4 linked regions of the Xenopus tropicalis genome follow. The protein of the gene in region 3 purifies or fractionates together with the protein of the main gene of each other region. This does not show direct contact. Links are inferred from orthologs where the notes say so. Each region holds a gene or a part of one and is shown on either strand. Other genes may lie near its edges. The genes, in order: exoc3, exoc1, exoc6 and exoc2.

Region 1 (5,354 bases), on a different chromosome or scaffold from region 3:
TATATATATATACATATACACTGTATATTGTACTTTGTCTAACATGCATTTTTATTAACATGATCTGCTTGTCACAAAGGCCCCATATTAGGTGAGGCATAAGAGAAAAATTTGCTTCAAATAAATTATACATCTTCTTTAAATGTTATTGTCTGTTGTAAAATGGCACTGCATTGATTGGGTTCTTGGAGAAACACCCTATTACTGTTGTTAAAGAACAATATTTTGTGGAAATATAAATTAAGTATAAATTAAACCTGCTACAGTCCCTGGCAGTTTTTAAAATGAGGGGTGGGCATGTCCTATGGTCCCTGCCAGAAGCACAGGAGGAGGGGAACAGCCAAGCACAGTCCTGCAGTAAAACAAGCAAAGACAGGATTCAGTTCCCTATCATGTTAGCCTTGCTGCACTATGGAACAGTTGGCAGACTTGCTGGGACTTGTTTGGGAATTTTTCATAAATCAGGCCAAAATACTACTTTAAGCTAAGTTTAACAGGTGTTTTTACACCAGACTGTTTTCATGGATTTGAGTATTTTATTTCTGCACTTTGAGAAAGTCTTGGGACTTGGAGCTAAAATGGTAGACTTCACTTCAATAAACTACCTTGATACCTTATAAGTGAAAATACAAAATAGAAGGCAAGCAAACAACACAAAACAGCTTGTGTCAGAATTATGTGAAACAATGTCTTTTTATACCTATTTAGAAAAGTATTCATCTGTTGGAGGCACAAATGAAGGACTTTCTTTTTTAAATCATCACTAATCTGTGCAGCAACCTGCAGATTCTGCTCAAACATCTGAAAAAAAAAAAAAAAAAAAATTACATAGAAGGCAGAACATAACAGCACTGGATAATCAATAGTTGCAAAATGTTGCCAGTTATATTATGGTTCTCTGCCCCAATGTGAACTTCATATATCCTTTAGAACTGACCATAATACAACAGAGCCCTTACTGAATGTTCTTGCATACCAAGATACTGAACATCAGCCTGTTTAGTTTCATTTGTGGGTTTTACGTAAATTCCTAATGTCTTCCCTCTGGGTATGAACGAACTCATGTGATTTTTTTAAAATTATATTTTCAAATATTGTTAGAAATATTTTGCAATCAGGTTGATTATATACAACTGTTGCTAATATTGTAACTGAATCAGATGAAACTATTTTCCTAAAAATATGCTCTTTTTGGAAAGCTTTCCACTAGACACTGGAACATAATTGGTAACATTTTCTTCTATTCATCCAAAAGAGCATTAGGGTGGTTGGCCTCTGATGGCATTGATCAGGCATGGCTTGCAGCTGGTGTTCATTCCACAAGTGTTGGTTGTGTGCAGAGCAATTTTACCATCTTAGAAAACACATTCTTTACAGACCTCATTATAGTGATAAAACTGTTGCCACAAAAATCATTTTTGGCTGATAGGGCTGCTTTTGTAAGTAATTGTTACTCAAAGTTCCTAAACCTGATTCTTACCAACCTGACTGTCACTTCTCAACCTGTCAATAATAGTTTCTAATGCTAACTACTGCTGCACAAATATGGCAGCCCCCCTCATACAGGAACACCGGGAATCAGATAAGTAAAGTAAAAGCATCGGGCAAATACTTTTAAGGCAAAATTATAAACAGCATGCAGACAAATTTTGCTGAATGCATTGTTGTTGTATTCCTAGTTCCATCCAACATGTTTTTAACCTTGCAATTAAAATCGGTTTTTAATTTCTACGATCAAATGAAGCTGAATGTGAGAATGAAAAACGCGTATATACTCAACACAGTAGTGGTTTCTTACCTGGAAAACAATGGCAGGCAATGTAGTCTGGAAGTACCCATCTTGGTCAGCTTCAGGCTCAGTATTCTTGTCCCAATCCTTTTTGTCAGTCTCAAGTGCTTTTCTTAACCAGGCAATGATGTTAGACTGCATTTAAAAGCATACCAAGGGTTAAATCACACACGCAATGCACAAAAACACAAGCTCAGCTATAGTAAAAGCAATGGTAAACAGAAATGGCCTGTTAATATTTTATATGTCATATATCAAAGACATATGGCAAGCATCTATGCAAAGATAATGTTTGCTTACATATGAAAATATATTTATGGTAAATATAGCAACATAACAGCCAATGACAACACAAACGTAGGGAGAGTACAGTAAATCAATTGGGACACTGGGCATGAAACTGTTCAGTGGCCCTTTGGAGTTTATATTTAAGATGTTTTATCTTGGTACCTAATGATATGTGGGAGATAAGATGTTGCAAATTGGAAGCTTTGAGGTGGTTTTTGGAAACGTCTTCAAAATTGCCAACTTTAGGAAAGCTTTGCAGTTTGGTTGTTTGGAGTGGAAAGATGTGTACCCATTTTGAATTTGAAGAAATGTGTACTTTCCAAAAATATATGGCTTTCTGTAAATTAATACAACACATGGGGCCAGATTCATGAAATCACAAGTTCCCAAATGGTATAAATTCCGATTGGATACGATAATTTCTTAAGATCGCAAATATGCTTACGAAAAAATCATATTGGCAATCTGAAAGTCACAAAATTTTCGTAAAATGCAGGAAAACCTTTCCGACTTTGATCCTTCTGTGCATGATTTTGGAAGCCTCCCATAGGAATCAATGGCACTCTGCAGCTCCAACCTGGCCCAAGGAAAGTCACGATAACGAAGCTTGAATGAATCCGAAACTTTCGTACTCGGTGCAACAATACGATTTTGAAGCACAAATTTGTTGCAAGTACGAAAAAGTTGCGGAAGGTACGAAAAATTTGCACAAGCGACAAAAAAGTCAAACGAATGCTCGGAGCGTTCGTGGATTAGTAAATGTTCCCCATGAAGTATCTTTATCCCAGGGTCCCTACATGCCACATCTTTTATACACAGTGGACATCAAACTGTTCACAGGATGACTGCCATTCTTATTTATGGTGTTTTATCCTGTTACTTAATGACTTGTAGGAGATACAATGATAACGATAATTTTAGTAAACCAATGCAACTTGGTAGTTTGGAGTAGAAAGGGATATTTGCCTCTTTGGATTCATCAGAACCTGCCCTTTCCAAAAATGTATAGTTTGCTAGGGTTTGCTGTTGGTGGAATTTTTACCCTTGAATATGCAGATTTCTGAAGCAGTGCTTTAGAAAATTGGTAGTGTACTACTGGGATTTGGTGACCTATACAATTGTACAGAAGATATATGACTTTGCAAATCAGATGCATTTTAGTGCATAAATTAAATTATGTTTTTGATATAAGCTTTTATATTATGGAAAATTATATTTTACATTATATTACATTTAAAAGCCTTTTTTTGTGTTATAAAAGTGAAATTACACTAAAATTCTAAAATACTGTGAAAGATTATCTTGTCCTAAAAAATAATATATCATTTTCCTGGATAAACTAAAGGTCCCCCTAGAAAAGGCCCCTAAAGTGAAAGAGTGTAAAATGTTTCAAAAGTGCCTGGCAATATAAATACCACAAGTGACCAAATCGGTTGGCAGCAAAAGGGTTAATGTGTAATATAAAGTTGCTTCACTTTAACACTTCCCATATTATTCAATGTATTTTATTTTTCAATTTTCCCTTCTCTACCTTGCTGTCCTCCTCATTCATGATTTCTCTCCTGTTGTCTATTTGTTTTCATTTCCAGTGCAATTTAAGTTTTATTCTTATTTCTTTCTTGCCGTCACCTATCTTTTTATCACAATTTTTCTACCGCACTCCACTCTCAGGGGATTCCGTTTGTCTGCCAGGTTCAAGCAATGTATATATAGATGTAAACAGCTACAGACTGAAGCAGCTCCTTATTAAAGTTTTCCTTTATTCTCCAAGCTCAAAGAGTGAAATCAATCAGTCATTTATATAGTGCTGTGCGATCCAATCAGACAACTGTGTGGAGCCTAAAAATTCCTGAAAACCTGTATAATGCCTGTATATACATTACTGGTACAAAGCTGCTCACCAATGTATCATGACAAGAGAGCAGCAAGGGCAGATTAAGTGATTCTTGTGCACAAGGCTGTACACAATACATTGTCCCTCCAGAGGAGTTATGTTGGACATAGCTCACCACAGCAGTTTGCCCACGCCTACTTTTAAATGCCACATCCACTTTAAAGGAAAAGTAACACTAAAAATTTTTAACTAAAAAATCTATTCTACCCTGCCCCAATAATTGCCCTATCCTACAAACCATTTATTATTTTGAATGCTGTAGTACAAAATACCTGTTAAAAGTTGCCTTCCGGTCATTTGAAGAAAGGCGATACGGCAATGCAGGTGAAGTATCAGGGGAAGCGTCCACTATGCAGCGATCGATTGATCGAGTCTAGCCTTCCTTCTGTATAGGAATGAGTCATGCTAGGCTTGATCAATAGAGTAAGAGTACTGGTAGTGTAATCCCAGGACATTATGTACAGTGAGATAAGCGGGCACTGGCATCCAATATACATTATTACAGTGACAGGCAGGTAGTACAGTTGTTTATACATAATAAAACTAAAATGGACACATTTAGTATTGCAGTATTACTAAATGATAGATTTAGATTAAATGTAAAAAAGAACATCCCCCCAAATAACAGAGGATGATGAGTACAAAACATTTAAATCTAAAAATAAAGAAAAGTAAAGAAAAGTTTCAAATGCCTTATACTTTTGAGGACTATTTGGGTGACAGGTCCACTTTAAACAATGTGCTAAGAAGTCATTTTGGCAACACTTCCAAAGTGGACCTGTCACCCAGACATAAAAAGCTGTAGGCATTTAAAAATCCCAGCTGTCTATCATATATTGCTTGCCCCGCCTCTATGCCTTAGGCATAGAGGCGGGGCAGACAATTACTTTAACTTCCAGTTCAGCTTACTTTCCCCCTCCCACCTGACCATCTAATTGTGTAGCCAGTGCATGGGCCTGGGCATCAGGCCCCCATTCTGGCACATACACAAGATTTCGGGGTGATACAAAGCTTGCCTTAATAAGCTTGTCCACAAAATGGCACCTGCCTATTTGCTGTGATTGTGTAATTCCAGGACTGAAAGAAAAAATATTTATGTATATATATTATATATATTTTATAGTGTAAGTGAAGGTTTTTTTGCTTAACAAACACAAGAGAAAAGAATTTTGAATTATTTCTTAGGTCCTCAGGTCCCCTTTATACACAGACTAAAAAGATATAAAAGAAGACAACATCTGCTTACTCTGAGAGTTGCCATGTATTTATGGAGCAACTGGTCCACTATGTCCTGAGAAAGAAGTGGCTTCAGTGACTTCACATTTATTTCTGGAATCAGCTCTGGGTTCCCCATCATCTCTACACTGTGTGGTCAATGACAAC
Region 2 (5,354 bases), on a different chromosome or scaffold from region 3:
GTGTTCCTACAGCAGTTTACGTAAGCAGACGCAGCATACTTGAACTTAAAGAATCAGATGTCATTTTAAACACCGAAGATTTTCTCGGCAACTGCGTCTGATTTGCGATTTGTGTTTTAATTTATTGGAATAATTACACACCACACTTGCACTCAAAAATGAGCCCTACTATTTACATTATACTAACTACCGCTTAAAAGTATTTTGATGTTGTGGATTTCATTATCACAGTAAAGAAACATTATTATGCTCAAATGTAAATTGATTTGTTGATTCACACTTTGGTTTGCAGTGATTCTCGCTGATCAATTTTTATTGTTCTTGTAAAATCATTTTGCCCTTTTTGCTAATGTGCTTTACTTTCTTCCATGATGACTTCTTAAGTATGGGCATAAAACTCCAGACAGCACATTGTCATCCATTATAATTCATTCAAGTTAAACTCCAGTACTCCACGTTTATATTTACTGACCTAATAAATAGCAACAGGTCAGTTCTGCAGAGCACTGCATGTTGTGCGGGTTTTTTATTTTACAACATTTTTTTTACCTATTCTGCAGGAAAACCCTGATTTTGATTTGCATTTTGACAAAGTGTACAAATGGGTAGCAAGCAGCATTGCTGAGAAGAATGCATTCATTTCTTGCCTCTGGAAGCTGAATCAAAGATATCTGCGGAAGAAAATTGACTTTGCCAATGTAAGCTCCCAGCTATTGGAAGGTAAGCCTTAAAGTATGGCTGGGATACAGCTTATGGTTGCTCTTTTTAATAAAAGTTTTTTTTTTTTAATTCAACGGTTTTGCAGAGTTAAAAAAAACACTCATCATTTTCATGCAAAGCAGAAGGAATTTTGGGTTATTATCGCTCCTAAATTTTTATTTTCATGAAATACCCTATAGGCAAAGCTCCCCTACTGGGTTTTAAACCCTCTGTTCATTTGTATGCAAAGCAGAAAGAATTCTGGGTAAGAAATCTGGTATTTGTATACATTTTACCTTTCTTATGGCATGCTCTACTATAGGTTTTAGATCTTCCACTCACAGAGACTCTTTATAATGATATTTGTAGTTTACAGACTGTGCCCATGGCTTGTAAAATGAGTAATTATGTGAACATGAAAGATGCAAGTAAAACAAATCTTAGCTTTTCAAATATGTGTGGGAGTTGTTCCAGAGTTTAAGTACTTTGTCTCTGATTTTGGGCCTGACAACTTAATTCATGCAAAGAACAGGGCTTGCAGAGTCTGAGACAGTTCTGCAAGTGCTGCTGGGCCCTTTTGGACAATAATGATGAATTATGATCTGGTACAAGTTTATACAGGCAGGCCCCCGTTCCCGTGACCAATAAGACTCAGAGGCCATTGCGCAAAGATGAGTCAAAAAGCAGAGCAGCAGAGATCACTTTGCAGTTTATGATAATGTTGTTTGAATGTTGCATTTGGTCTTTCTAGTCAGTTACTTTGTATGATTTTGGTGTAGAGAAAGATATTAATTCCTTTTAGATGTCAAGTAAATTAATTAATCATTACATTGCCTTTTACCTATACTAAGCAACCAAATGCAGTGGAATGAGTTAAGATGGATGTGCTCAGAACCTTACCCAGACTGATGCCATTGCTGATATTCTGGGCAATTTAGCAGTGATAAAGAAATGGGTGTATGTGGAAACCATAACATTTAGAGCTAAAGTACAATGCAAGCATCATCAAACAGGAACATTCTCAATCATCATTAACAGGGGTGAATGAAAACAGGAGGCGTTTTCAGATAGGACTAAGTATTATTCTGCATTTACCCAATTTTAATGATTGCATGTTAATACCTAGAGTGCTTTGTCCTGTGTGTGAGAGCTATAGCCAATCAATATAACTGTTTCCAAATGTCTTTTGAGAACATTGCCTGTCTTGCTTTAATACTCTCTTGCTTACTGTCCTCTGCTCTTTTTTCCATACTTATTACTCTCCAGAACTGCCTAAAGTTGCTGAAGGTGGGTGTCATGATTTATTTATACATGTTCCTATACTAATACAGATCAACTGGAGTCAGATTTTTTTTTAGAAACAGGATGAAGTGGGATTTATTCATATACAGTATTACTATATAATAATGCCCTCTGATTTGCTATGGAATCTTTGGATTTTAAAATCCTCTTAGCATGCTGTATACCTTTACAAATGAGAGTTCATGGAGAAAATATTCCTTTAGTTTATACTGGAAGTATAGTTTTACCTTATGTCTAAAGAGATATTATATCCACTTTTAAATATTGGCTCAATTAACAGGGCTTGGGCTGAACATACTTTTAGCTTATTGTTCTAGTTATGATATATCTGGTTTTTAACAATTATTTTTAAATTAAACGGATAAAATTTAAATTAAATTAAAGCCACATTCTGCTTCCTGATAAAAAGACAGACCAATCAGCAGTCCATTGAGAAGCTTCTGTATAAATGAATCCCTTCCTTTCCCCAGCTACAGCCTGTTATGTTTTTAGATAAAGAGCAGATCGTTATACAGATGCTTCTTATTGGGCATACATATTTACTAATTAAATCTAAAGGCATCAAGTATCAAAAGGCATCAAGCTCTATTCATTGAGCCAGTGTTGATTAAGGTAATAGGCACTGCAATGTTGCTTTTTTTTTTTTGCTGCCTAGAATAAGAATGCTGAAGTAGAGTCTTTAGAGAATGCCTTAGCTGAGGCAAGCAATATGGCAGTATGTCACAGCTTATTTACAAGGCTGCTGCACTAACCTGACTTCCACTGTTGTCAGTGTTATTAAACGTGATAATGCCACTGTGCACTTTTTAAATAGGAACATGCTTAGGTTCATCCCTTATGATGCTATTATAATCTTATGCTCAGGTTGATGTAAAGTAGTTGGAAGTACCCGGTATGAATTTACAGTGCCCCCAAATAAGGGGGGAAGGAAGAGAAGGATTTGTTCTTTACATTTTAATTTATATGGTATCTGGCATTTGTTTTCCAGTAATTTGCAATAATAATGAGGGGCGCATTACTAATGTAAGCCAGTGTTCTTTTGTGGCTACTTTGTAAATAGCATGCACTTTGCAGAATGTACAAACCAAATTAGTTAAGCAGCGCACATCCTTATTAGGGATTTATAGTATATTCAACTTGTTTCTGTACTTCAGAAATTCTGGTTTATAAAATGATAGGAATTACTATTAACAGGAGTGAGAGAAATCAAATCTTGATGTTTTCCTTAGACTGAAGATTATTAGGTCAGCGTTTCTTTTCTTTTCCTTTGCCTGCCTTTCTGACAGCTTTCTGTTTTCTTTGATCCATTTTCTCTGAAAAGTATTTAATACGTTTTAGAATCCACCTTTGAAATTAGACACATTAAATGCCAAGTCACATTTACAGGGGATCATTGTATTCATTCAAGTCATTGTATTCTAAGAACAAATGGTCTTTTTTGGTTATTTTTCCATTTTAATCTGTTGTTTTGTTGCACAACTTTCCACGTGGCATTTAAGCTATCTGGTTGCTTGGTTCCAACTTAACCTAGCAACCAGGCATTGGTTTTAATGACACAAGATGATGAATAGGGGAATGGCATTTTAAAGCTTAAGTTAGAAAAAGTCTGAATAGTACAGGTATAGGACCCATTATCCAGAATGCTCGGGTCCAAGGGTATTCCGGATAAGGGATCTTTCCGTAATTTGGATCTCCATACCTTAAGTCTACTAAAGAATCAATAAAACATGAATTAAACCCTATGGGATTGTTTTGCATCCAATAAGGATTATTTATATCTTAGTTGGGATCAATTACAAGGTACTGTTTTATTACTACAGAGAAAAAGGAAATCAGTTTTAAAATTCTGAATTATTTGATTAAAATGGAGTCTTTGGGAGACGGGCATTGCTTAATTCTGGGTAACGGGTTTTCGGATAAGGGATCCCATACCTGTACTGCGGATTATAAAAAAAAATACCTTTGGAGAAGGGCAATTAGTTTTGTGTCCATAAGAATATAAATAGTAATCCATGTTTTTTCACTGTCACTTCTTAAAGAATCTGTCCCTAGTGGGGAAAACCAGAGTGTGACTGGGGGAGATGAAGAAGCAGCAGCTGAGTACCAGGAGCTAAATGCCAGAGAGAAGCAAGACATTGAGATTATGATGGAGGGCTGTGAATATGCCATCTCCAATGCAGAGGCTTTTGCAGAGAAATTATCCAGAGAGCTTCAGGTTTTGGATGGGGTAAGACCAAGTGATGACTATGATGCTAACCCTCTGGGATGTATAACCCACATGACTTATCCACTGTTAAACAACAAAGTAGATAATGTATAAACTCACTCTAAATATGGCCGATAGCAAAAAAAACTTGGCAAACCGTTTGTGTACCAAATGTAGAAGTAGAAAAAGCTAGCACCGTCCACACTAACCATACACGTTCAAAAAATAATAACTGTCTATACTCTCACATTGAGATTAGATGGAATAGAGTAGAAGTACTGGGGTAACGTGCAACTGAAGTAAAATTATGTAAAGAAAAAGAGAAAAACAGGGAGACACGCTAGCAGGTGGTCCCTGTATAGACTTCAGAGCTTTGCACCGTTAATCCCAGGAAAAGGTAATGATTATTAACAGGTAATTCACTTGATCAAAATAGGATAGGAAATTAAAACTTAACCTTTATTAATCAAACTTAAAAGGTGAAGTATATCTTAAAGAAATCCCCATTAAAAATCGCCTGGGGTGATGTTCAATAACAATAAGAACTATGAGGTAGTGTAAGGCTGCTCAGAGTAAACCTGTCTGATTAAATTCGCTAAATTGTTGCAGTTTGAAAGATAACTTTTGTATCGAAATTCTCTGCTTAAACAGCCCTGTGAAGGCAGTCAGGGAGAGATTGTGATAAACCTGCAACAATTGTTACGAAAATGTTGCCATATAAGGAGAACTCAGATCGGGTTTCCTTATAATCTAAAGTCACTGCTTAGCAGAGTAGGGGATTCGAACCCCGTTATAACTGAAATGAGGTGCAGATCTCTTTTAGCTTAGGGCTGAAATTCAGCCGTTTCTGTGTCCACCACCCCACAATAGAATAAATTTGGGTAAATCTATATTGCAGCCCAACCTCCCATTCTATATATTGAAGCACCCTTGCTAAATAAAATGCACATCATTCGTGCAGACGTTTCAACCCACCCTTCCCAACCCAAAGCCCCGCATCAACACCCGTTCCACCCCCCTCAAAGCCCGACGCACGTTTCGCCCCTACACGAGGAGCTTTTTCAAGGACTGGCGGCGCGCCCCCAGGATGTCGGCTTTTAAATTTGCTGTAGTAACTCCTATTGGGCAGATGGCGTCTCACCTGGAA
Region 3 (5,354 bases):
CACCTTAAAATGCTACCTGCAAGTACATGACCTATACAGATTTTTCTCATGGGCTGCAGGTGTTCTGTTCATGCTGCACCCCAACACCAGATCTGTTCCAGAGCTACACTAAGGGGCACATTTACTAAGACACGAATCAGAACTGAATTGGAAAAATTCCAATTTGAAAACGAACATTTTGCGACTTTACGACTTTTCGGAAATTGTCGCGACTTTTTCGTTACCAATACGTTTTGCGCGAAAAAACGTGAGTTTTTCGTAGCCATTCCGAAAGTTGCGCAAAATCTGGCGATTTTTTCGTAGCGTTAAAACTTGCGCGAAAAGTTGCGCCTTTTTCGTAGCGTTAAAACTTAAAAGGTGCGACGTTTCGCGCAAGTTTTAACGCTACGAAAAATCGCCAGATTTTGCGCAACTTTCGGAATGGCTACGAAAAACTCGCGTTTTTTCGCACAAATCGTATTAGTAACGAAAAAGTCGCGACAATTTTCCAAAAAAAATCGCAAAATACCGATCATTACGAAAAAAACGCAATCGGACGCATTCGGCCCGTTCGTGGGTTAGTAAATGTGCCCCTAAGGGACTGATAAATGCAGCTGGTGGCTGAATCTAAAGTTGCTTAATAGAATTAAAAAATAAACCTAAAATGTCCTGCAGAATTTATACATAAAAAAAAAAAACCTGCATCCCTGCTTTTTGTTTGTAGGAGACCGAATCCCATGATATATATATATATATATATAAAACTGTTCACCTGGCATATTCCTACAGTAGAAAATAAACTTATTTTATATCTGACAGAACTGAGCACAATGAAATGTTTCTTCTTTCATCTGGCATCCAAGGCCTGGCGAATCTAATTAGACTGAACTGGAAGATCCCAGATAACACTTACCTGCATAGTATCAGCAAACACAACAATCAGGTTCTTAAGCTCCAGGACAAGATCGGGGTCAGTGCAATACGACTACAAAGAAATGAGATTTGTTAAGTGTATTACAAACTGTGCTTAAAAGCTGCACCTTGTGCTAAATCGACTGGTGAGGAAAGATGTGCTGAGATATTGGGCTCTGATCTGATACCCAGGTCTGCAGATAATATCACAGAGGTTTTAATGATAACTTTTTTCTATGACCAAGAGATTCTCACTGCATGCTGTGTATAAGTGCACAGTTTTACTTGGAGTGACAAAAATACCCCCTGTGGGGGGATCTATTATTTATGATGTGACCCATAGCTCTCCAGCTTCTGCTGAAAAGTGGCTCTGTATGCATACATATAAGCTGTGAGCTGCTCAAGAGAATACTCAGTTAGTTGCTTTCATTTACCCACATAATTGTCATGTTGCTTTCATTATTTTAACTGCATTAGACCAAGATAAAGTATTAGTTACAGTTTGCTACCGCACTATGGCATCTTTGCAGGGTCACTGTGTATGAGTCTGCGTGTATACATGAAAGTTATATAAGTCTGTATTTCATCAATAGGCCTCTTAGGTCTCACCTATCCATGCAGTGAGGGGGCAGTGCAAGTAAAGTGGGATTTTAACCCAGTATGTCCAGAATGGAGCACATAGGGCATAAGGGATCCTTAGCACTCTGCACCTAACAAACACTGGCAGCTCTGTATTCATGGAGGAAGTATGGCTATTCATTCTCCATTCTGAAGCACAAACATGAGTCCACTTTTTGTACTTTACCCTGCACTTTGTAAATAAGGCCCTTAAAGACTCGATTTTGCACCCCTCAACATTCTAGCATTTGGATTCAGGGCCTTTGTAAAGAAGGCACAGTAAGTTTTCAGTGTATTGTAACAGATTTGTATTTATATATTTCTGTACAGCAAATAATTCACCCATAATAAACTGGTCCTGAAAGGTCTTATCTCTCTTCGATTATCACTGCCTGCATCATCCCAGAAGTTACGTTTAAGGGGAACTTCCCATTTCAGTGAATAAACCAGAAAAAGTTTATTTTGGGAACAGGGTATCTGGCGCAATCATCTGAAACCATTTCCTGGTGGCAGTCTGAGTGCTGACCTATTCAGTTTGATCTAATGAAGGCCAGTTGAGGCTAATGAGGACAGATAGCCTTAATAACAGCAGATTAACTATGCATATTCTAAAGTACTACACTATGCTGTAAGGACCCAGTAACTTGTAAATCAGAGAAGGATTATGCAGATAGCCCTCAGCTGTGGCTCACAGCTTGAACCTCCCGGGAACACAAAAGCCCTGGTAGCACTAGAACACAAGCCCTGACTGCTGAAGGATGCTGGGAGTTGCATGTATGTACCTTTCAGTCATTACATAACCCCACCAGGTCAGAATTCTGCCTTTCTTACCGAGTGCGTTCGAAGGACAGCTATGATCTTCGACTGCGCCATATTCCATAGTTCGGTGGTGTAAGAGCCAGTGACGAGCCCTTGTGTTACATGTAAAATATGATCTTCCACAACAAAAAATCTGAAATAAAGGGGAAAAAACTGTTTATTCAAATTAATGTGTCAGTAGATTTCACATTCAATAACATCATTCTAAGAATATTCATGGTTGGCGTATCTGTACATTTGGGTGAAATTTTATGGGTAAAGCAAGGCTGATCTTTTATTGTGGAAGGCATTAAGAAACGTTGCCATTTCATTTAATAAGCCCTGACAGGGGCAGTCTTTGGGCAGAGCAGAGATGGGCACCAACAACAGGGAACCCACAAGGGAAAGAATGTTGTGTGGTTCACTTACTCAGCTGGGGCATTTCATTTCTATAGAATGATTTCCATATGATGATCAAAACCCATGAGAAATTTCACCACTTGATGCTAACTCAATGGTACCCAACCTGTCCCCAAAGTACAACTCCCAGCATTTTGTAATATGTAACCAAGTGTCTGACCTTGCTAGGGGCTGGTTGAGACTAAAGGGTTGGGACCTACTGTTGGATTCCATAACGTATTTTAAATAAACCACCACCCTGTTCTAGACCTGCAAACACTGACTAGCATCATCTAGAAGACCCATCTAAGATTCCCATAAATGAGAGCCCCAAAGATCCGGAGTAGTAGCTGGCAATATAGCTAGGATTTAGGCCCACAGCAAACAATCAATAGATATTGCATAGATATTGCACTTGATATTGTGGAAGTGAATACGGCAGATCTTCTTCACAAGACGGCACCAACTGAAACTCTCTATATGCCTTCAATCTTGAAAAGAATATCAATATAAAACATGGTGAAAATTCACAATGCATTAAAATACTCACCCTGCAATCTGACTGAAATATTTTCTGTAACCTTCAACAGTTTCATGCTTTTAAAACAGAGCACAAAAAAGACACACATATATTAATACATATCAAGTTGTGGACAGTCAAGAACAATATTCTCTGAAAGAAAATCAGTTTACCATGGTGGACTGGGGCTGCAGGACTAATCTCGCTTGTTTTCTTCTCTGCTTTCTGTAGTAGTTTTCAAATACTTCTTTATCACCCTAAAACGTAACCACAGAGAGAGACGTTAATGTTCCCCAGATGCTAAAGAGCAATTCGCCTAAATATGATCTGAGGCTGCAGCTTATCGCTCTCAGGCTGATAAGGAGCCAAGAAAATGATAATTTGATACTAGTTATAATTTGATTAAACCACAATTCTTACTTAAACTGATCAGAACTCCCGCTGAAAATGAATTCTGAAGGCAGTCTATTGCTAAAATCTGACTCCTGCTATGGTAATGTCAAGAGAAAGGGACAAACATTATAGCTTACATGAAATAGGGTAGAATCACATTCATATAAATGTATTTAGAAGGAGTCTACTCTAATTAAGACATATAATATTGCCAATGATGTTTTTAGACTAGTCATGTAACTATTTAAATCCTGCACAGGTTGTAGTTGTACTTTGTTGTTGCTTTTGTTACACAATCTAATGTGCCCTTTATTCCTCTGTGGATGTGTGGAGGAACGCATTGGACAAACATGCTTGAGAAAGGGTGCAAAGAGCCCATAGTATTGCTCTTTTTCAGTACATTGCCATTAAGCATGGATAAAGACTATTTTAATGGAGTGCTGCTTAGGTGTTGTAAGTTGCTGTATTTGACCCTGGAGCTAGTTCAGGAGCACATGTCTGCTATAACTGGTGTGCCATTCCTATGATCTATTTGTGTGTGACCAGAACTGGAAAACACCACTATGAATGATGGTCTTTTATCTTAGTGGTGTGTCTGCCAGTTTGGCACTAATGGGGGGATGGGCTCTGGATTTCAGGAGGCATGGAAAAAAACCTTTAAAGTGCCATGGACACTAATGGTTGGTACCAGTTTGATGGTATATCTTCCTGCTGCCCATTGTATATTCTATTTGATCTCTGTTAAAGACTTTAGTCTCTAGCTGATCCTGTCTGATCTCTGTCTGCCCTGGCCCATTGCCTGGACTTAAGCTTGTTAGCTCATCACCCGCCCTTTTACCCTGTGTATAACAGTGCCTACTGTCTGCCTTTCCTGCCTCAAAATACCCCTGTTGGCCAAGAATCTATTCCAGGTCTGGACTCGGATTCAAAATAGGCCCTGACTTTTTAAGTACACAGAGGCCCAAATAGCCCTCCACCAGCCCACTAAATAGTAACTGCCTATGGCATCTTACAGCAGGCCCTTGGGTATTTGCCAGAACCAACAGATTTCCAGTCTGGCCCTGACCTGTCCTGTCTTATCTCTAGTCAGCTTCCTCCTTGACAATAAGTAATACTATACAGCATTGTTCCCCAACCAGTGGCTCGTGAGCAACATGTTGCTCACCAACCCTATGCATGTTGCTCCCGGTGGCCTCAAAGTAGGTGCCTATTTTTTTATTAAGGTAAGGAGGCAAGTTTAGGTTGCAAAAAAACAAGTATAATGCCAAACAGAGCCTTCTGTAGGCTGCCAGTCCACATAGGGGCTATTAAGTAGACAACTAAACCTGTATTGGCACCCCCAGGAACCTTTCTCATGCTTGTGTTGCTCCCCAACACTTTTTCCATTTAAATATGGCTCATGGGTATAAAAGGTTGCTGCTACACAGCATGTAACTCACTGTCAGGAAAATGTCCTTGACTATTAGAAAAGTTTTGACTGCAATCAAAGACATTTCACTTGTGTCTTTTCTCAGAAGTAAAAGAGGCATCATTGTGTTCTCAATAAGAAGAACCATTCAGAAGAAGACATCTGTCCAATGAAAACTACTACAACTCTACTGTCCCATCAAACCAGTTAATGCAATGGCACCTGCATGCCTGCAGTATTTATGCAGCTTTTGGGGGACATGTTACTGTTAGGTCAGTCTCTTAGTATTCCATTAAGCAGTTCTAAGCTCTCCCATTTTGGCTTACC
Region 4 (5,819 bases), on a different chromosome or scaffold from region 3:
GGTAAAGGTTATAAAGCCATTTCTAAAGCTTTGGGACTCCAGCGAACCACAGTGAGAGCCATTATCCACAAATGGCAAAAACATGAAACAGTGGTGAACCTTCCCAGGAGTGGCCGGCCGACCAAAATTACCCCAAGAGCGCAGAGACAACTCATCCGAGAGGCCACAAAAGACCCCAGGACAACATCTAAAGAACTGCAGGCCTCACTTGACTCAATTAAGGTCAGTGTTCACGACTCCACCATAAGAAAGAGACTGGGCAAAAACGGCCTGCATGGCAGATTTCCAAGGCGCAAACCACTTTTAAGCAAAAAGAACAATATGGCTCGTCTCAATTTTGCTAAAAAACATCTCAATGATTGCCAAGACTTTTGAGAAAATACCTTGTGGACCGACGAGACAAAAGTTGAACTTTTTGGAAGGTGCGTGCCCTGTTACATCTGGCGTAAAAGTAACACAGCATTTCAGAAAAAGAACATCATACCAACAGTAAAATATGGTGGTGGTAGTGTGATGGTCTGGGGTTGTTTTGCTGCTTCAGGACCTGGAAGGCTTGCTGTGATAAATGGAACCATGAATTCTACTGTCTACCAAAAAATCCTGAAGGAGAATGTCCGGCCATCTGTTCGTCAACTCAAGCTGAAGCGATCTTGGGTGCTGCAGCAGGACAATGACCCAAAACACACCAGCAAATCCACCTCTGAATGGCTGAAGAAAAACAAAATGAAGACTTTGGAGTGGCCTAGTCAAAGTCCTGACCTGAATCCTATTGAGATGTTGTGGCATGACCTTAAAAAGGCGGTTCATGCTAGAAAACCCTCAAATAAAGCTGAATTACAACAATTCTGCAAAGATGAATGGGCCAAAATTCCTCCAGAGCGCTGTAAAAGACTCGTTGCAAGTTATCGCAAACGCTTGATTGCAGTTATTGCTGCTAAGGGTGGCCCAACCAGTTATTAGGTTCAGGGGGCAATTACTTTTTCACACAGGGCCATGTAGGTTTGGATTTTTTTTCTCCCTAAATAATAAAAACCCTCATTTAAAAACTGCATTTTGTGTTCACTTGTGTTATCTTTGACTAATAGTTAAATGTGTTTGATGATCAGAAACATTTTGTGTGACAAACCTGCAAAAGAATAAGAAATCAGGAAGGGGGCAAATAGTTTTTCACACCACTGTATATATATATATATATATATATATATATTTATTACACACACACACAAACTATTTAAGGGGGTACTATCACTATAAAAGCTGGAAAGCTGCAGAAGATGAAGGCAAATTATTAAAAAAAACAAAAAACTAACAAATAATTTAGATCAATTGCAAAGTTGCAAGGAATAGGGCATTCTATACCATATTAAAAGCTAACTTAAAGGTGAACGACCCCTTTAAAATATTCCCCTTACCATCACAGCCACCTAGTTAAAGCTTCTGCACCATACACTTGTATATTACTTTGTAAGAGATACACTCAAAACACACAAACTGCTGTGTACAGTGAAGTCTGTATGTTATATGCTACACCCACACAGCTAACAGTTTGGCCAATCAATCACTGACTGCACTAAAAATTAAAGAAGGAAAGGTAAAAACTAAGTAAGCATTATCATAAAGGTCTATGTAAATACAGCCATAAGCACTTACAGAAACGCTACACTGAGTTCTCTTTCAAAAGAAACACAGGATTTCTAGTCTTTGTTTTCCTGTGCCAGAGACACGCAGCTCTCTCCTCTCTCCTGCTCCCGCCTCCCTCAAGAATGCTAAGAACTCCCTCCCCCCCATAGGAATGTGGATCTGAGCCAATCAGCAGGAAGCTTCCTCATAGGTCTTACACACTAAGCATGTACACCAATCTTGGTGCAGGAGCAAGGCATTATGGGAAGTTAGCAAGCGCACAAAGACTGAAGAGGAGACACTCGCTCGCAGCTACCCCGGGCTGGTGCACTTTTCTTCTCACAGGAGCACCAGCCTGGGGTAAAAGGTAAGCGATTAAAGTCACTGGGGGTGCCTAACATTTTGGCACCCCCCAGTGAGTTAGCCTTTCCTTCTCCTTTAAATTAAGACATCTATACCTGTCATGAACTAAGTCCAAAATCTCAGCTGTCAATTATATTTGCCTCAGGCATACAGGTGGGACAGGCAGTCACTTTATATTCTGCATTTCCTAGATGTCACTGCACTCCTCTCATTCCCCCTACCTCCCCCATGGTCCATAACTGTATGCTGTGCATATGCAGGGCCCTCCCCCCTAGAACATTGGTAGTGAGGGGTTACGTTTTGCATTGGTAGCCAGGGGTTACGTTTTGCATTGGTAGCCAGGGCAGGGACCCCCTAAAACATTGCTGGTCCTCCCCCAGCGTCCCCATACTATGGGCCACTGCCCACTGCAGCATCCTCCCCAACATCATCCTTCAGCTCCCCCCAGCGTCCTCCCCAACATCCTTCAGCTCCCCCCAGCGTCCTCCCCAACATCCTCCAGCTCCTCTCAGCATCCTCCCCAACATCTTCCAGCTCACCCCAGCGTACTCCCCAACATCAATCAACTCCTCCCAGCATACTCCCCAACATCAATCAACTCCTCCCAGCATACTCCCCAACATCAATCAGCTCCCCCCAGCATACTCCCCAACATCAATCAGCTCCCCCCAGCATACTCCCCAACATCAATCAGCTCCCCCCAGCATACTCCCCAACATCAATCAGCTCCCCCCAGCATACTCCCCAACATCAATCAGCTCCCCCCAGCATACTCCCCAACATCAATCAGCTCCCCCCAGCATACTCCCCAACATCAATCAGCTCCCCCCAGCATACTCCCCAACATCAATCAGCTCCCCCCAGCATACTCCCCAACATCTTCCAGCTCACCCCAGCGTACTCCCCAACATCAATCAACTCCTCCCAGCATACTCCCCAACATCAATCAGCTCCCCCAGCATACTCCCCAACATCAATCAGCTCCCCCCAGCATACTCCCCAACATCAATCAGCTCCCCCCAGCATACTCCCCAACATCAATCAGCTCCCCCCAGCATACTCCCCAACATCAATCAGCTCCCCCCAGCATACTCCCCAACATCAATCAGCTCCCCCAGCGTACTCCCCAACATCAATCAGCTCCCCCCAGCGTACTCCCCAACATCTTCCAGCTCCCCCCAGCATACTCCCCAACATCAATCAGCTCCCCCCAGCATACTCCCCAACATCAATCAGCTCCCCCCAGCATACTCCCCAACATCAATCAGCTCCCCCCAGCATACTCCCCAACATCAATCAGCTCCTCCCAGCGTACTCCCCAACATCTTCCAGCTCACCCCAGCATACTCCCCAACATCTTCCAGCTCCCCCCAGCATACTCCCCAACATCAATCAGCTCCCCCCAGCATACTCCCCAACATCAATCAGCTCCCCCAGCATACTCCCCAACATCAATCAGCTCCCCCCAGCATACTCCCCAACAACTTCCAGCTCACCCCTGCGTACTCCCCAACATCCTTCAGCTCCCCCCAGCGTCCTCCCCAACATACTCCAACTCCCCCGCAATGTTCTCCCCCACCGCTCGCCTACTTCTTCCGGCTGCGTCCGCCTGTTTTCCCCCGGCTGCCTCCCCCGTCTCTTCTTACGTTCCCCGGCTCGCCGCTGCAGCTACTCTATGATAAGGTTGCGCCCCGTGCGTGCTGACGTCACGCGTACGCACGGGGCGCAACCAATCAAATTACCCGCTGACCACCAATGCACTAAGGCCTGGAACTCTTTAAAGGGGGCCCGTGCTTATAACTGTATCGCGGCCGGGCCCGGGACAACTGTGCCCCCCTGATGGCGGCCCTGCATACAACTTTTACATTGTTACTGTGTACTCAGCTGTAGCCCCTAATTCCTATGGTTTATGGATCACACAAATTTTTTTTTGTATGTGACATTAAAAATAACTCACACTGCCACGTCTGACAGAGTCTATGCAATGATTAGTGAGTTTTTTTTTTATATATAAGATCCTCCATTCAGAACCCGCTTGAACTAGCCAAGTGAAGCACAGGAGTGAAGGTGGGACAATTGTAAAGCACTCTTTTAACCTCAGAGGAGAAAATGAATGGCATGTCAGCTGAAGTGCATCAATCTTTTTATTGCATGGAATGGGCCTCTGTAAATATGGGGCCCACAAGAGGGGTCATTTAAGTCTTTTACCACCTGCCAGCTGCTGCCTTGGTCCCGACACTTGCTGCTGATGCCTACATCATACTATCACAGCCTGCCCTAAAAGTGATGAGCCTAACTGTGGGGGGAATGATTTTTAACGCCGTGTCAGTCCCTGCTGGTGGTTAATATTAGGGTTGTCTGTAGCAATTTTGTGATGGGGTGAATTTCAGGCTTAATGGGTCACAGTACCAATTTATACTAGGGTATTATTTGTTGCTGAGGCTTATTGTACCATTTTATGTGGGTTTAATGTGCCCTTTAATGAGTGCTGTAAAAGGTTTCCTCGTGTATAAATGTTGAGGATTATTCTGGCCTATATCAATCTATTGTGCTACTAAACCTGTATAAATTTTTTTTGTAGTCTTGTATGTATGTATGTATGTAAAACTTTATTTAGAAAGCGCTACAAGGATACACAGGGCTGTACAATTTTACAACAGAGAAACTTACACACAGGGAGGACAACTATTATAATAAATACAATAAATAAGTGTAAATACGCAGTGCCATGTGGTATCATTTACGGTAGGAAGGAGGTCTCTGTCCCGTAGAGCTTACACTCTATGGGGCTGATTTACTAACCCACGAATCCGACCCGAATTGGAAAAGTTCCGACTTGAAAACGAACATTTTGCGATTTTTTCGGATTCTGTACGAATTTTTCGTTACCAATACGATTTTTGCGTAAAAACGCGAGTTTTTCGTATCCATTACGAAAGTTGCGTAAAAAGTTGCGCATTTTTTGTAGCGTTAAAACTTACGCGAAAAGTTGCGCATTTTTCGTAGCGTTAAAACTTAACGCTACGAAAAATGCGCAACTTTTCGCGTAAGTTTTAACGCTACGAAAAATGCGCAACTTTTTACGCAACTTTCGTAATGGATAGGAAAACTCGCGTTTTTACGCAAAAATCGTATTGGTAACGAAAAATTCGTAAAGAATCCGAAAAAATCGCAAAACATACGAAAAAATCGCAAAATACCGATCATTACGAAAAAAACGCAATCGGACTCCATTCGACCCGTTCGTGGGTAAGTAAATCAGCCCCTAAGTGCATGTATAAATATTTTTGGGTCCCACTGATCACTGAATCTCCTGTATTAGAGCACTGTGCTAATCTGCACATACTTAAGGCACATACTGCCAGTGGTACACCTGTTCAGTTTCTGGTCTTTGAGGTTGTAGCAGTGCTGTGCCAGTGTATGTACCAGGCATACTGAGACTCTCTTTCATCTGGTATGGTAGGAAGGCTAATGTACAATCTCAGCCTGGCACTTATAGGCCAGTAAGTGTGACATCCGTGATGGACAAATTATTTAAAGGCTTGCTAAAGGATCACATACAAAATTATGTACTAGAAAATGGCATTATGAGCAGTAATTGGCATGGTTTTATGAAGGATAGATCATTTCAGACCAATTGAATAGCTTTTTATGATGAGGTGTAACGATACCTGATGGTCTAGTGGGGCAGCGGGGACGCCCGCGCGTCCTCCATTGCAGGGACCCCCGTCATCCTCTTTTAGACGCGCGCTGCCTTTTGACGCGCATGCGCGTTCGCAGATGCACGCGATCGCGTCCGTCGTTATATAAGGCCCTCTTCCTCTCCAGCAGGAGCT

Evidence for each region.
Region 1: the proteins of exoc6 (region 3) and exoc3 purify together in Homo sapiens (affinity purification with mass spectrometry; 6 studies listed by BioGRID and IntAct, counting the BioPlex papers as one, with this or other methods). This does not show direct contact. The link is inferred for Xenopus tropicalis from reciprocal best matches to the Homo sapiens genes EXOC6 and EXOC3.
Region 2: the proteins of exoc6 (region 3) and exoc1 purify together in Homo sapiens (affinity purification with mass spectrometry; 4 studies listed by BioGRID and IntAct, counting the BioPlex papers as one, with this or other methods). This does not show direct contact. The link is inferred for Xenopus tropicalis from reciprocal best matches to the Homo sapiens genes EXOC6 and EXOC1.
Region 4: the proteins of exoc6 (region 3) and exoc2 purify together in Homo sapiens (affinity purification with mass spectrometry; 5 studies listed by BioGRID and IntAct, counting the BioPlex papers as one, with this or other methods). This does not show direct contact. The link is inferred for Xenopus tropicalis from reciprocal best matches to the Homo sapiens genes EXOC6 and EXOC2.

What each region holds. Positions count from the first base shown.
Region 1 is NC_030682.2:69,102,321-69,107,674, forward strand, and holds part of exoc3 (exocyst complex component 3), read right to left. Parts: intron 5,336-5,354; coding exon 5,218-5,335; intron 1,925-5,217; coding exon 1,799-1,924; intron 802-1,798; coding exon 701-801; intron 1-700. UniProt on the Homo sapiens protein: Component of the exocyst complex involved in the docking of exocytic vesicles with fusion sites on the plasma membrane.
Region 2 is NC_030677.2:40,658,896-40,664,249, forward strand, and holds part of exoc1 (exocyst complex component 1), read left to right. Parts: intron 1-560; coding exon 561-720; intron 721-1,965; coding exon 1,966-1,986; intron 1,987-4,040; coding exon 4,041-4,228; intron 4,229-5,354.
Region 3 is NC_030683.2:25,435,202-25,440,555, forward strand, and holds part of exoc6 (exocyst complex component 6), read right to left. Parts: intron 3,484-5,354; coding exon 3,400-3,483; intron 3,304-3,399; coding exon 3,257-3,303; intron 2,462-3,256; coding exon 2,341-2,461; intron 965-2,340; coding exon 893-964; intron 1-892. UniProt on the Homo sapiens protein: Component of the exocyst complex involved in the docking of exocytic vesicles with fusion sites on the plasma membrane.
Region 4 is NC_030682.2:87,069,909-87,075,727, reverse strand, and holds the start of exoc2 (exocyst complex component 2), read right to left. Parts: upstream 3,683-5,819; 5' UTR 3,574-3,682; exon of another isoform or gene 3,534-3,573; intron 1-3,533. UniProt on the Homo sapiens protein: Component of the exocyst complex involved in the docking of exocytic vesicles with fusion sites on the plasma membrane.